Arabidopsis thaliana: one gene and its partner. The protein of the gene in region 1 interacts with the protein of each later gene in a pairwise test. Each region holds a gene or a part of one and is shown in the gene's direction. Other genes may lie near its edges.

What was found. The genes of interacting proteins can lie anywhere in the genome.
Region 2: the proteins of ETL1 (region 1) and TRFL9 interact in a protein complementation assay, tested with the Arabidopsis thaliana proteins (one study listed by BioGRID).

Annotation. Positions count from the first base shown.
Region 1 is NC_003071.7:521,558-527,570, forward strand, and holds ETL1 (SNF2 domain-containing protein / helicase domain-containing protein), read left to right. Parts: upstream 1-1,665; 5' UTR 1,666-1,923; coding exon 1,924-2,508; intron 2,509-2,704; coding exon 2,705-2,822; intron 2,823-2,902; coding exon 2,903-2,943; intron 2,944-3,027; coding exon 3,028-3,278; intron 3,279-3,347; coding exon 3,348-3,528; intron 3,529-3,637; coding exon 3,638-3,823; intron 3,824-3,908; coding exon 3,909-4,082; intron 4,083-4,164; coding exon 4,165-4,323; intron 4,324-4,414; coding exon 4,415-4,492; intron 4,493-4,589; coding exon 4,590-4,726; intron 4,727-4,816; coding exon 4,817-5,035; intron 5,036-5,164; coding exon 5,165-5,327; 3' UTR 5,328-5,511; downstream 5,512-6,013. UniProt on the Arabidopsis thaliana protein: DNA helicase that possesses intrinsic ATP-dependent nucleosome-remodeling activity and is both required for DNA repair and heterochromatin organization.
Region 2 is NC_003074.8:3,981,364-3,987,310, reverse strand, and holds TRFL9 (TRF-like 9), read left to right. Parts: upstream 1-1,685; 5' UTR 1,686-2,028; intron 2,029-2,406; exon of another isoform or gene 2,407-2,443; 5' UTR 2,444-2,462; coding exon 2,463-2,543; intron 2,544-2,615; coding exon 2,616-3,330; intron 3,331-3,421; coding exon 3,422-3,595; intron 3,596-3,758; coding exon 3,759-3,838; intron 3,839-3,940; coding exon 3,941-4,176; intron 4,177-4,285; coding exon 4,286-4,591; intron 4,592-4,685; coding exon 4,686-4,749; intron 4,750-4,835; coding exon 4,836-5,039; 3' UTR 5,040-5,431; downstream 5,432-5,947. Other genes in the region: FDM3 (XH/XS domain-containing protein), read right to left, coding at 5,939-5,947. UniProt on the Arabidopsis thaliana protein: Binds specifically to the plant telomeric double-stranded DNA sequences. At least 2 repeats of telomeric sequences are required for binding. Induces DNA bending.

The DNA of each region.
Region 1 (6,013 bases):
GATGATGATGAAGAAGAAGACACTATTCCTATATATTATGTATTATAATACAAACACAAACCTCAAAGCCCTATCTCTCTCTATCTCTATATCTCTTTCTCTCTCTACTGTTTTGTGTTCTTCTTCTTTTAAAAATAAGCCATATATGAAATGATCTTGAAAAGTATGTCTCTAAGGTCCCCTCTCTGTCTCTATCATTTTATTTTATTTCGATTAATATAAAATAAAGCTACTTTTTTTCTTTCTTATAATTTAATTTGACAGAATTAAGAAGGATGGTTACGGTTTGGGTGTCACTGTTAAAACGGTGAAATGTGTCCACATGCGGGGGTGTGTTGTGGGTACCACATTTTTCTCATTCGTATCTTTCTGGTGAGCTTTAAGACAAAACCCTCGTTTTCTCTTCATTTAACTTGATTAGGTTTTGTTGTACTAACTTTTTTTTAATTGTTTTTATCTAATAAAATCGTTTATAATATAACATATCGTATATTAATACACATGATACACCAATCAATAGAGAATTTTTTAAAATTTGTTAGATTCTTGTATGAAAATTAATATATTGCTTTTCTTCTTTGGTTCAATTCTTCAACCTTTCAGAATGTTCAATGCAAAACAATCGAACCGATTGGTTTTGAATCAAACCTAATTAATCCTGAACGAGTAACCAACTCTCAACCGATCTGAATAGATTTTAAAACGATATATCACAAAATCTCCAATATCACTTTAAGAGCTTTGAGAAAATATTATTGATATATTATTATTCGACCGTAAAGTTTGATTTTCTCCTTTTCACTTGGGCTTTTTAATCTTATACAATTTAGTTTTATTTTAGTTTACAAACGACAACATATTTAAGTAACAGGTGACTTCTCAACTTGATCCTCTCTTCATTACCATCGATGCTTTTTAAGTTATACTGAGATCGTACCAACTGCAATGGGTCAGTGCCGGGCCATATTCAATCAGGGCCTCCCTGATTGGGTTGTAATATGATTTCAAGTTAGTAATATGAAATAGCACACAGTCACGCACACAAAAGAGCCTATATAAGGAGAGATATACCACAAACAGCCCAAGACCCAGTTGTTTTAGATGAACCAAAATTGTATGGAAATATTTAGTATTTGAAACTGCCGTCACCAAGATGGCAAGGTCAGAGAAACTCAATAACAACTCTGTTTCTGCCATTCCGAGAGTTAATATTAATTTTCAGAGTTAATGGATTAGCTAGTAAACATATATATACAAATGATAATAACCTGTAGAATGAGGATTAAGATCGAGAACGACGAGGTTATCTTTACCGCAACATTCCAAACGTAGCCAAAGCTCTATTACCATACCCCTCAATGTACATATCCAGCTTATAAGACTCCTATCCAGTATCCACCATCCAACGAAACACACTCTCAGATTCTTCCACATTATGAATACATGTCAACCAAATAATTTCTCACCTCAACCATCATTTCAAAACCAAATCTTCAAGCAAACCCCATGGATTTAAAAACCCTTTTCAAGTGCGTCAAACAAACCACAAGCTTTTAGATTTGTCGAGAAAGTGAAGTCGTTGGGCCCATTTCTTCGGATCCCTTAAGTTCACCATTAAGTACTCATTAGAGCCCATTTCTTGGGGCCCATTAAGAGATTAAGTCCGCGCGCATAGCTTTTGGAGGATGCCGCTCTTTTGTAAGAAGCAACACGTTGTTGAGTCTCTAACCTTTCTTTGAAATCTTGACCTTTCCCTTCCTTCTCCGCTAAATTCGTTTTAATTTCATCTTCTTCTTCTTCTTCAATTCGATGCAATAATAGTCACTTCAATCTCAATCTAGGGTTTTCAATTTTCTTCATGTGAATTTTTTTTCCCCTTCTTCTCAATTTCAATTCAATCTGGGATTCGTAAATTCTCGGAAGATGAAACGCGATTTCGACGAAATCTCCGAGGAAGAGTGGTCTCAACACTCGTTTAACGCTTCGCGAGTTCTTAAACGACCACGGACTCCGAAGAAGACTCGCGCGGCGACGAATCCAACGCCGTCGATTGAGTCTTTTGCGTTTAGGAGACCTTCGACGGCGATGACGATTGAGAGTAATAGCAGCGATGGTGATTGTGTTGAGATTGAGGATTTGGGAGATTCGGATTCGGATGTGAAGATTGTGAATGGTGAGGATTTGTTGTTAGAGGATGAAGAAGAAGTGGAAGAGACTAAGGTTGTGATGCGCGCTGCGAGAGTTGGTAGGAGATTTGTGATTGAAGATGAAGAAGCGAGTGATGATGATGATGATGAGGCTGAGAGTAGTGCTAGTGAGGATGAATTTGGAGGAGGAGGAGGAGGAAGTGGAGGAAGGAGAGGAGAAGATGAAGATGTTGTGGGGAAGGCATTGCAAAAGTGTGCTAAAATCTCAGCGGATCTTCGAAAAGAGCTTTATGGTACTTCTTCTGGTGTTACTGATAGATACTCTGAAGTTGAAACTTCTACTGTCAGGATTGTCACACAGGTACTGGAAATTATCACTTTGGTGTTCTTAAAGTAGTTGCTTTGAGACGATTTAGAGTGTCTTCCTTATACAATTGTGAAGTAACTTTTGATTAGATAGCATATTTTGGTGGTAAGCTTTGATTGGTTTGGTTAGAGTTTACTGTTTTGTTAACTAAAACTTGTTTACTTTTGGGTTGAATCTGTGATGATCGCAGAATGATATTGATGATGCATGTAAAGCAGAGGATTCTGATTTTCAGCCTATACTCAAGCCGTACCAGTTAGTTGGTGTTAACTTTCTTCTTCTGTTGTATAAGAAAGGAATTGAAGGAGGTATGTGTTTTTACTAGTTTCGATCTGTAAACCTTTTTAGCGTGAATGTCACTTTGTAACTCACTTTCTATTGTTTGTAGCCATTTTAGCCGATGAGATGGGTCTTGGAAAGACCATTCAGGTGCATTTTGCTCTGTTATTACTGGATAAGTTTTCTTTGTTTCTTTATCTTATAAAGAACTAATTTTGTTCTCATTTACCTTAGGCAATCACATATTTAACCCTCCTAAGTCGCTTAAACAATGACCCTGGTCCTCATTTGGTTGTATGCCCTGCCTCTGTCTTGGAAAACTGGGAGAGAGAGCTCAGAAAATGGTGTCCGTCGTTTACTGTACTTCAATACCACGGAGCTGCGAGAGCAGCCTACTCAAGAGAATTGAATTCTTTGTCAAAAGCTGGGAAGCCACCACCATTCAATGTGCTTCTTGTGTGTTACTCTCTGTTTGAACGGCATAGGTGCAACTCTTGATGCTTTTATTTGCTTTTTGGCTTTTCCTGTTACTCACAGATGTTGGAATTTTACAGTGAACAACAGAAAGATGACCGAAAAGTACTGAAACGGTGGCGCTGGAGCTGTGTTTTGATGGATGAAGCCCATGCGTTAAAGGATAAGAATAGTTATAGGTGGAAAAACTTGATGTCTGTGGCCAGAAACGCAAACCAGCGTCTTATGCTTACAGGAACGCCTCTACAAAATGATTTGCATGTACGGTTGGTTTCTGTTGATTTTTTCAGGATCTAATTACCTAATATAGACGACATTTCTTCATGTGGTCATACAATGCTTATTCCCTGCATATGTTTGGTCTATGCAGGAACTATGGTCGCTGTTGGAGTTCATGTTGCCTGATATATTTACGACAGAGAATGTTGACTTGAAGAAGTTGTTGAATGCAGAAGATACTGAGTTGATTACTCGAATGAAATCTATCTTAGGTCCTTTCATCTTGAGGCGTTTAAAATCTGATGTCATGCAGCAACTTGTTCCGAAGATACAGCGGGTATGGATATATCTATGCACAATTAAGTACACGATATTAATCTTCTAGCTGCAAATCTCATTAATTTCCCATCAATCCAATGCAGGTTGAATATGTATTAATGGAGAGAAAGCAGGAAGATGCATATAAAGAAGCCATAGAGGAGTATCGTGCTGCTTCTCAAGCACGGCTTGTGAAGCTTTCATCAAAATCCTTGAATTCTTTAGCCAAGGCACTTCCAAAGCGTCAAATTTCAAACTATTTTACTCAATTCCGGAAGGTAATTCTCAGCTACTAATACAAAGCCCCTTTTGTGCCAAATGAGTGTGTTATTCATGTGTTATTAAATTTTGGTTGTACAGATTGCAAACCATCCATTGTTAATTAGGCGGATATACAGCGATGAGGATGTCATTCGCATCGCCAGGAAATTGCACCCAATCGGTGCATTTGGATTTGAATGTTCCTTGGATAGAGTTATCGAGGAAGTTAAGGGTTTCAACGATTTCCGTATCCACCAGGTAAATGTTTCTCTTTCCAAAAGCAGTTGAATATCCATTAACAAACATGTTATGCAATTGAAGAAGCTAACTAACTTGTTTCTTTCCATAGCTTTTGTTCCAATATGGAGTTAACGATACCAAAGGAACTCTCTCAGACAAACATGTCATGCTCTCAGCAAAATGTCGGGTACGTGATATTCTTCTTCATTTCATAAGTCTTCTTTGTGAAACTGATTAAGTATAACTAAACCTGTGAGCGATCTAAATCTCCCTTTATGTATCAGACATTAGCTGAGCTTCTCCCTTCAATGAAGAAATCCGGCCATCGTGTTCTAATATTTAGTCAATGGACATCGATGCTCGATATCTTAGAATGGACACTTGATGTCATCGGCGTTACATACCGAAGACTTGACGGCAGGTAATAAAAGAAAAAAGAGTAATTTGTCACATTTTTGACGATTCTACAAAAAGGAAGAAGCTTAAGTCATTTTCCTTTTGTTTTCAACAGTACTCAAGTTACAGATAGACAAACCATAGTCGACACATTCAACAACGATAAGTCGATATTCGCATGTCTCTTGTCAACTCGAGCAGGTGGACAAGGTCTTAATTTAACCGGAGCGGATACAGTCATTATTCACGATATGGATTTTAATCCACAGATTGATCGGCAAGCTGAAGATCGTTGCCATCGTATTGGTCAAACAAAACCAGTCACTATCTTCAGGTTTGAGCTTTAAATCCTTGAATCAGTTTAGATAACTTTCAGAACAAAATTGTGGTTTGGATTGGTTTATGTGTGCTCTGTTTTGTATTCTCACATATATCTGTATTAACTCTGGCAATGCTGGTGCAGACTGGTGACGAAATCGACGGTTGATGAGAACATCTACGAGATAGCGAAGCGGAAACTAGTTCTTGATGCGGCGGTTCTAGAGTCCGGAGTTCACGTAGATGACAACGGAGACACGCCTGAGAAAACCATGGGAGAGATTCTTGCTTCTCTTCTCATGGGATAACATTATTGTTACCTTTTTTGTTTTGAGGTAAAATTAGTCAAGAAACGAAGTTAATGTGTTATTCTAAACATGTGTAACCACTAGCTATTATTAGACTTAAATTTAATAGATCACGATAGTTATATTTTCTTCTACGCATGTAAATTATAACCCAAAAATTTCCTTCTTTAGACCTAAAAGTCACAATTGTTCCAAACACTAAAATGTGGATCAGTGATCAAATGAAGTGAACCTTCAGGATAGTTTAGTCTTCGATCATCAAAGATTGTATAAAGGAGTGACTTAGCTGTATTTGTAGGTATCAAAATTGAAAACCTCACGCAATGATTAAAGGTCTCAAGTATCTTTATTCGTCAGAGTTGTATAAGACACAAATCTCACTAGATTGTTTTCCCATTGTCTTTGCCGAAACCTAACAATGAACAACTAGTTCTATTAGGATTGGTTCAAGAATGTCACATAGTATAAGTTTTTCTTAGCTGAAAAATTCTAGATAACTTGGAATAAATTCTAGATAGTCTTTTTTTTTTGCTACATTTGAAGATAAATATCTATGAAAATGTTCAAATTCATGATTATATTATTGCGATTAAATAATTGAATATGACTATACAAAATAATTCACTAGTAAATCAAAGCCATACTAAGTTTGGATTCTTTGTGGTAACTGCCATTGCCAAGTCACG
Region 2 (5,947 bases), on another chromosome or scaffold:
CAAGCAAACTTTTATAGCTTGTGACACTTACTTAATACGTTCAAATTGTAGTTCTATCTTAAAAATTTCATGAATACAAAAGTCACATAAATGAATAGAAAGGGAAAAAACTTGTATAACTATATTAACACGCTCATCTTAAAATTCGATAAAATAAAAAATTTAGCAAAGTAACTCAGAATTAAATTTATTAAATAAACATTAAAGTAAGAAATACTGTTATAAAACTATTCTCCTTATTTGGCACCACACGTTTTCAAGGTTCTAACATACAAAAGCATAATAAAACTATATGGGTTTATTGAAAAAATCTTTAAGCTCCATACTCCATGTTGAATTTCCGTAGACCCCTTTTGATGCTTCGTCTTTTTTCTTTATAGAATGTCGTTGTTGTCCCTTTGTGCCTTGATGCTTAACCATGCAACCGCGCAAGATATATATATATATATATATATCTTGCCTTCTAATTCTCTTTTCTTTTCTTTTTCTTCTAAATTTGGCCTTTTTAAATAAATCCACTTACCTACCTATGAATCCAGTATATCAACAAATCGTACGAAAATGTACCAATTAGAGATTTCAATATGATTGAAGTGCATGCAGCATGTGTATATGTTTTTATATAAAGCGAAAGAAATGCATGTGTATTTCAGTATTTGTTTAGTACAAACTACAAACTAAAAGTGAAACGAGCTAGGATACAACAAGATCTATATATGAATTTTTGAAATATTTCATGCATGCATACATTCTCCCAATATATAACGTCTAATTATTATAAAACTGTAATCAACGATGGTTTACATACTAATCATGAATTCAGTGAAAGCTTTATTAGAGAAGGAACATAGAATGATTAGTCCATGTTTGTGGAGAATGTATGTAGTATGCCTGATCATTTTCCTTGTACCTCTTCCAATAGAATGGTCCGATCCGACCCATTTACTAATCGTCATGCGGCCCATATTCATGAATGGTTATAATTTACAAGGGTCCAAGTCTCCAAGGCCAGCCACAGAAGTAGACAGACACTCTCAGAAGTCCAAGACGGACATAATTAAACAAACAATTCGATTCAACAGCCGGCCATAAATTTATGTTTGATTCAACCCATTTCGATTCTCATTACATTAATTAGCCAAGCATATGCTTTAGTAGTTTAGTCCCACTAAAATAGCCATAAGATTGGCGCGAACATTGTCATTCACAAAATACCTTAAAACACATAACACGTTCATTTTGGCCCCATTAGCACATGCTTCAACATGTAATCTCATCAAGAAATTCATGTTATCACTCAAGTTGAATGAACACTTAAAAAACCTTGTGACGACGTTATTACCAAAGCAATGGAGTTGTCACAGGCTTTCTCTACCCACGTGGAAGATAAAGACAGCTTTTGTAGTACTAGTATATTAAAAAGGACCCCACTCCAATCACAAACAGCACTGTTGTATTGTTTTTATCCGATCCCTAAAATAAAGATTCTTCTGACAAACCTATCTTCTTTAAGGGGTTATGAACTGATGATTCCCGGAGAGAGAGGGTTACCATCAATAGCCTGTTAACCGGAGAGAGGGGTTTTAGTGTTTTACCATAAATTTACAAGGGTGACCGTCAATAGCCGGTTTACCGGTTTACAACAACTGCCTCATCTCAAACCCGTTGTTATTTGTGTGGTCAATAAAAACTTTTTTAATTTATTTTAATTTACAAGAATGATTATAAAAAAAGGGGTTTCTGTTTCAATGGGGCTTTTCACGTCATCTTCCTTCTTTCTTTTCTAAAGACAACGACGGATTCTTACCGCAACACACACAAAAAAAAAATAACTCGAGAATTCTTCATTTCTTTTAAATCTTAGAATCTCGAGTTTTTGTATAAATCGATTCTAATTTTTCCTTTGTACATTGTTTTATATATACATAAAACACACAAATCGGGTATGGGGGAATTTGGGTTTTAAGATAGCGTGATCTGTAATAATAAGTGGTTCGCGATCGTGATCAAGAAACTGGTGGCTGATAGGTGAGTTTTTTCATCGCAATTGACTTGTTCACTTACCGATCTGTAAAATTCTTGGGGTTTTGGGTGGTTTTTGATCCTTTGACTCTGATCCGGTTTTCAAATTTCCATTAAATTTCTTTGGCGGGTCGAAATAATTTGTTCGAGATCTGATCAGGTTACTGTTTCTTTTCATCTTGTCTCGAATCTTATAATTGAATTTGTAAGCAGCTTCTAGCATTTGAGTCTTGTTCAATTTTACCAACGCTTTTCCATTTGCGTGATCCATTTCTTGTTTCAGTGTCTTTCTTACATCAAAGGCTCGGATTTGGTCGTGTTGATCTGATCTAAATTGGTGTTTACTGTTTATGATTCTTGTTGCTACTTTCTGATTCTTTACAGTGTTCTGTTCTGTTCTGTTTTGTTTTTGTGTTGCTAGTGATATGCATATTTGAGAGATGGTGTTCAAGAGAAAGTTAGATTGCCTTTCCGTGGGATTTGATTTTCCCAACATTCCCAGAGCTCCTCGTTCATGCAGGGTAAATTTTGATTCATCTGGATCTGTTAGCTCAATGTCATGAATTTGCCTTCTGATGAATCTTTTTTTCCAGAGGAAGGTTCTAAACAAGAGGATTGATCATGATGATGATAACACTCAGATCTGTGCAATTGACTTACTAGCTTTGGCTGGAAAGATTCTACAGGAAAGCGAGAGTTCCTCTGCGTCTTCTAATGCATTTGAAGAAATTAAGCAAGAGAAAGTAGAAAATTGCAAGACTATTAAATCTGAGTCTTCTGACCAAGGAAACTCTGTGTCAAAGCCTACTTATGATATCTCTACTGAGAAGTGTGTGGTGAACAGTTGTTTTTCATTTCCGGATAGTGACGGCGTTTTGGAGCGGACTCCGATGTCTGATTACAAGAAGATTCATGGTTTGATGGATGTAGGGTGTGAAAACAAGAATGTAAATAATGGGTTCGAGCAAGGAGAAGCAACCGATCGCGTGGGTGATGGAGGCTTAGTCACTGATACTTGCAACTTAGAGGATGCAACTGCGTTAGGTCTGCAGTTTCCGAAATCAGTCTGTGTGGGTGGTGATTTAAAATCACCATCCACCTTGGATATGACCCCTAATGGTTCCTATGCTAGACATGGGAACCATACTAACCTAGGTAGAAAAGATGATGATGAAAAATTCTATAGTTACCATAAACTTAGCAATAAATTTAAGTCGTATAGGTCTCCAACAATTCGAAGAATAAGAAAGTCCATGTCGTCCAAATACTGGAAACAAGTTCCAAAAGATTTTGGATACAGTAGAGCTGGTAAGTATAACACAGCCTGCTTCACTTATCTTTGAACACATTTCTTCTTTTTGTGATTCACCCTGTTCTTACTTTAAACATGGATGTCTAGATGTGGGTGTGAAGACTCTTTATCGCAAAAGAAAATCATGTTATGGTTACAACGCATGGCAGCGTGAGATCATTTATAAGAGAAGAAGATCACCTGACAGAAGCTCGGTCGTAACTTCTGATGGAGGACTCAGTAGTGGAAGTGTTTCCAAGTTACCCAAGAAGGGAGATACAGGTGGTTATTGTAGTCTATCTCAAAACTCTTCAGTTATCTTATCTTAGCTGTTGTGGTCCTCTCAAAAGGCTCCCATGGTACTTGACTGGATGGTAAATGATACTGAGACATTTATCCGGAGACAGGATAATGTGGTTCTCATGTATTTTTATCTCTGGTGCAGTAAAGCTAAGCATTAAGTCCTTTAGGATTCCAGAGCTTTTTATTGAAGTTCCAGAAACTGCAACAGTAGGATCACTAAAGGTATATGCCAATATGTATTTCTTCACATTTGTTTGGTTCTCTTGTGTGGACATTGAGGTGTTAACAAATTACCATTTTGCTCTTTGACCCTTTTGGTTGCAGAGGACTGTGATGGAGGCTGTCAGTGTTTTACTCAGCGGAGGAATACGTGTTGGGGTGTTAATGCATGGGAAGAAGGTTAGAGATGAAAGGAAAACTCTGTCCCAGACTGGGATCTCATGTGATGAAAATCTAGACAACCTTGGGTTCACCTTGGAGCCTAGTCCCAGCAAAGTTCCCCTACCTTTGTGTTCTGAAGATCCTGCTGTGCCAACCGACCCTACAAGTTTGTCTGAACGGTACTAAGAAATTCGCTATCATATCCTTGTGCTGCTTTAGTTGAATATCACTGGTGTTCATTCTTCTTGAAGATTCCTAAGCAAAAGCGGTTCTGAATTATCATCCCAGGTCTGCGGCGTCTCCTATGCTAGATTCTGGAATTCCACATGCAGATGACGTGATTGATTCAAGAAATATTGTGGACAGTAACCTCGAATTAGTTCCATATCAGGGTGACATATCTGTTGATGAACCTTCATCAGATTCAAAAGAGCTTGTCCCACTTCCAGAGTTGGAAGTCAAGGCGCTTGCCATAGTTCCGTTGAACCAGAAACCTAAGCGTACTGAGCTAGCCCAGAGGAGAACTAGGAGACCCTTCTCTGTGACAGAGGTAGAAGCTCTTGTACAAGCAGTTGAGGAACTCGGGACTGGAAGGTATATAACACTAGTTCTTTCATAACTCATGTAGTTTGGTCGTGGGATAATGTCAAAGCTCAAAAGCTAATGGTCGATATATCTGATCACACAGATGGCGTGATGTAAAATTGCGTGCTTTCGAGGATGCAGATCATCGGACTTACGTGGACTTGAAGGTAAACACATCAGACACAAACATGTAATCTGGAACATATCACGTCTTACAGTCAGGTTAATATCTCAAGAACATGTGAATATGCAGGACAAATGGAAGACGCTAGTTCACACAGCAAGTATATCCCCACAGCAACGAAGAGGAGAGCCGGTGCCACAAGAACTGCTAGACAGAGTCTTGAGGGCATACGGGTATTGGTCGCAGCACCAAGGAAAACATCAGGCGAGAGGAGCGTCCAAAGATCCAGACATGAACAGAGGTGGAGCTTTTGAATCAGGTGTTTCAGTGTAAAAAAGGAGGTACGCATTGGTGGGTGGGTGTACAGAAGCAAACAACACAATAAATGGACAACTCAATTTCTGCAAAGTTTAATTGTCTTTATTTCTCGTTTTTTTTTTTCTCCTACATACACTTTTTTTTTCCTTGCTTTGGCATCTGTAAATGACTCCAACTGGGATGAGATTCGTCCCTAACCAAATTTTTAGGTTCTATCTTTGTTTTTTCAACATTGATTACATTGTGTAATAATTTCGGTCCATAAAAAGGGATCTTGTAATTTTATACATTCTTTTATGTTCTATCCTTTCTGACAAGTGACAGGTCAAACCTTCTTCATTATTTCGTTCAATTTTTTTAATTTTTTTTCAATAAAACACATGAGAGATGAGAGTGATATTGTGACAGATATCTTTGACAAAATGTGAATAACCCAATTTGAAAGATAAGAAATACTGCTGCTCTGTGATTTTGGAATATTAGACACAGTTAAGTGTTTGTTATTGGTGGAAAGACTCTTAACTAAGCCAAAGTGTTCATTTCTTCACAAATTCATAAACTTCTCTAAGGTTTAGAATCATCTAACAATGTTTGTTACTTAGTTTCCTACAATGTTGAACCGTCAAGTGTAGAAACATAGTTTCAACTTCGAGTCCCAATGTGACGCCATCCTCCTCTAATTTACACCTACTTCGCAATTCTAAGACCCATATATTGCATCAAAGACGAGAGACAATTGTTGAACCTTGCATTTTGACATCCTTTACACGCTAAACTTATTTTCCATCTCCTGCAACTTGCAAAGTACAGACCTCAGATTAGCAAAATTCGAAAATACAACTATGTAAGCAAAGAGGCAAACTTCCAAAGAGCTGGGATTTTTGAGTGTACCGGGTAAATGCAAATATAAACCTTTATGACTT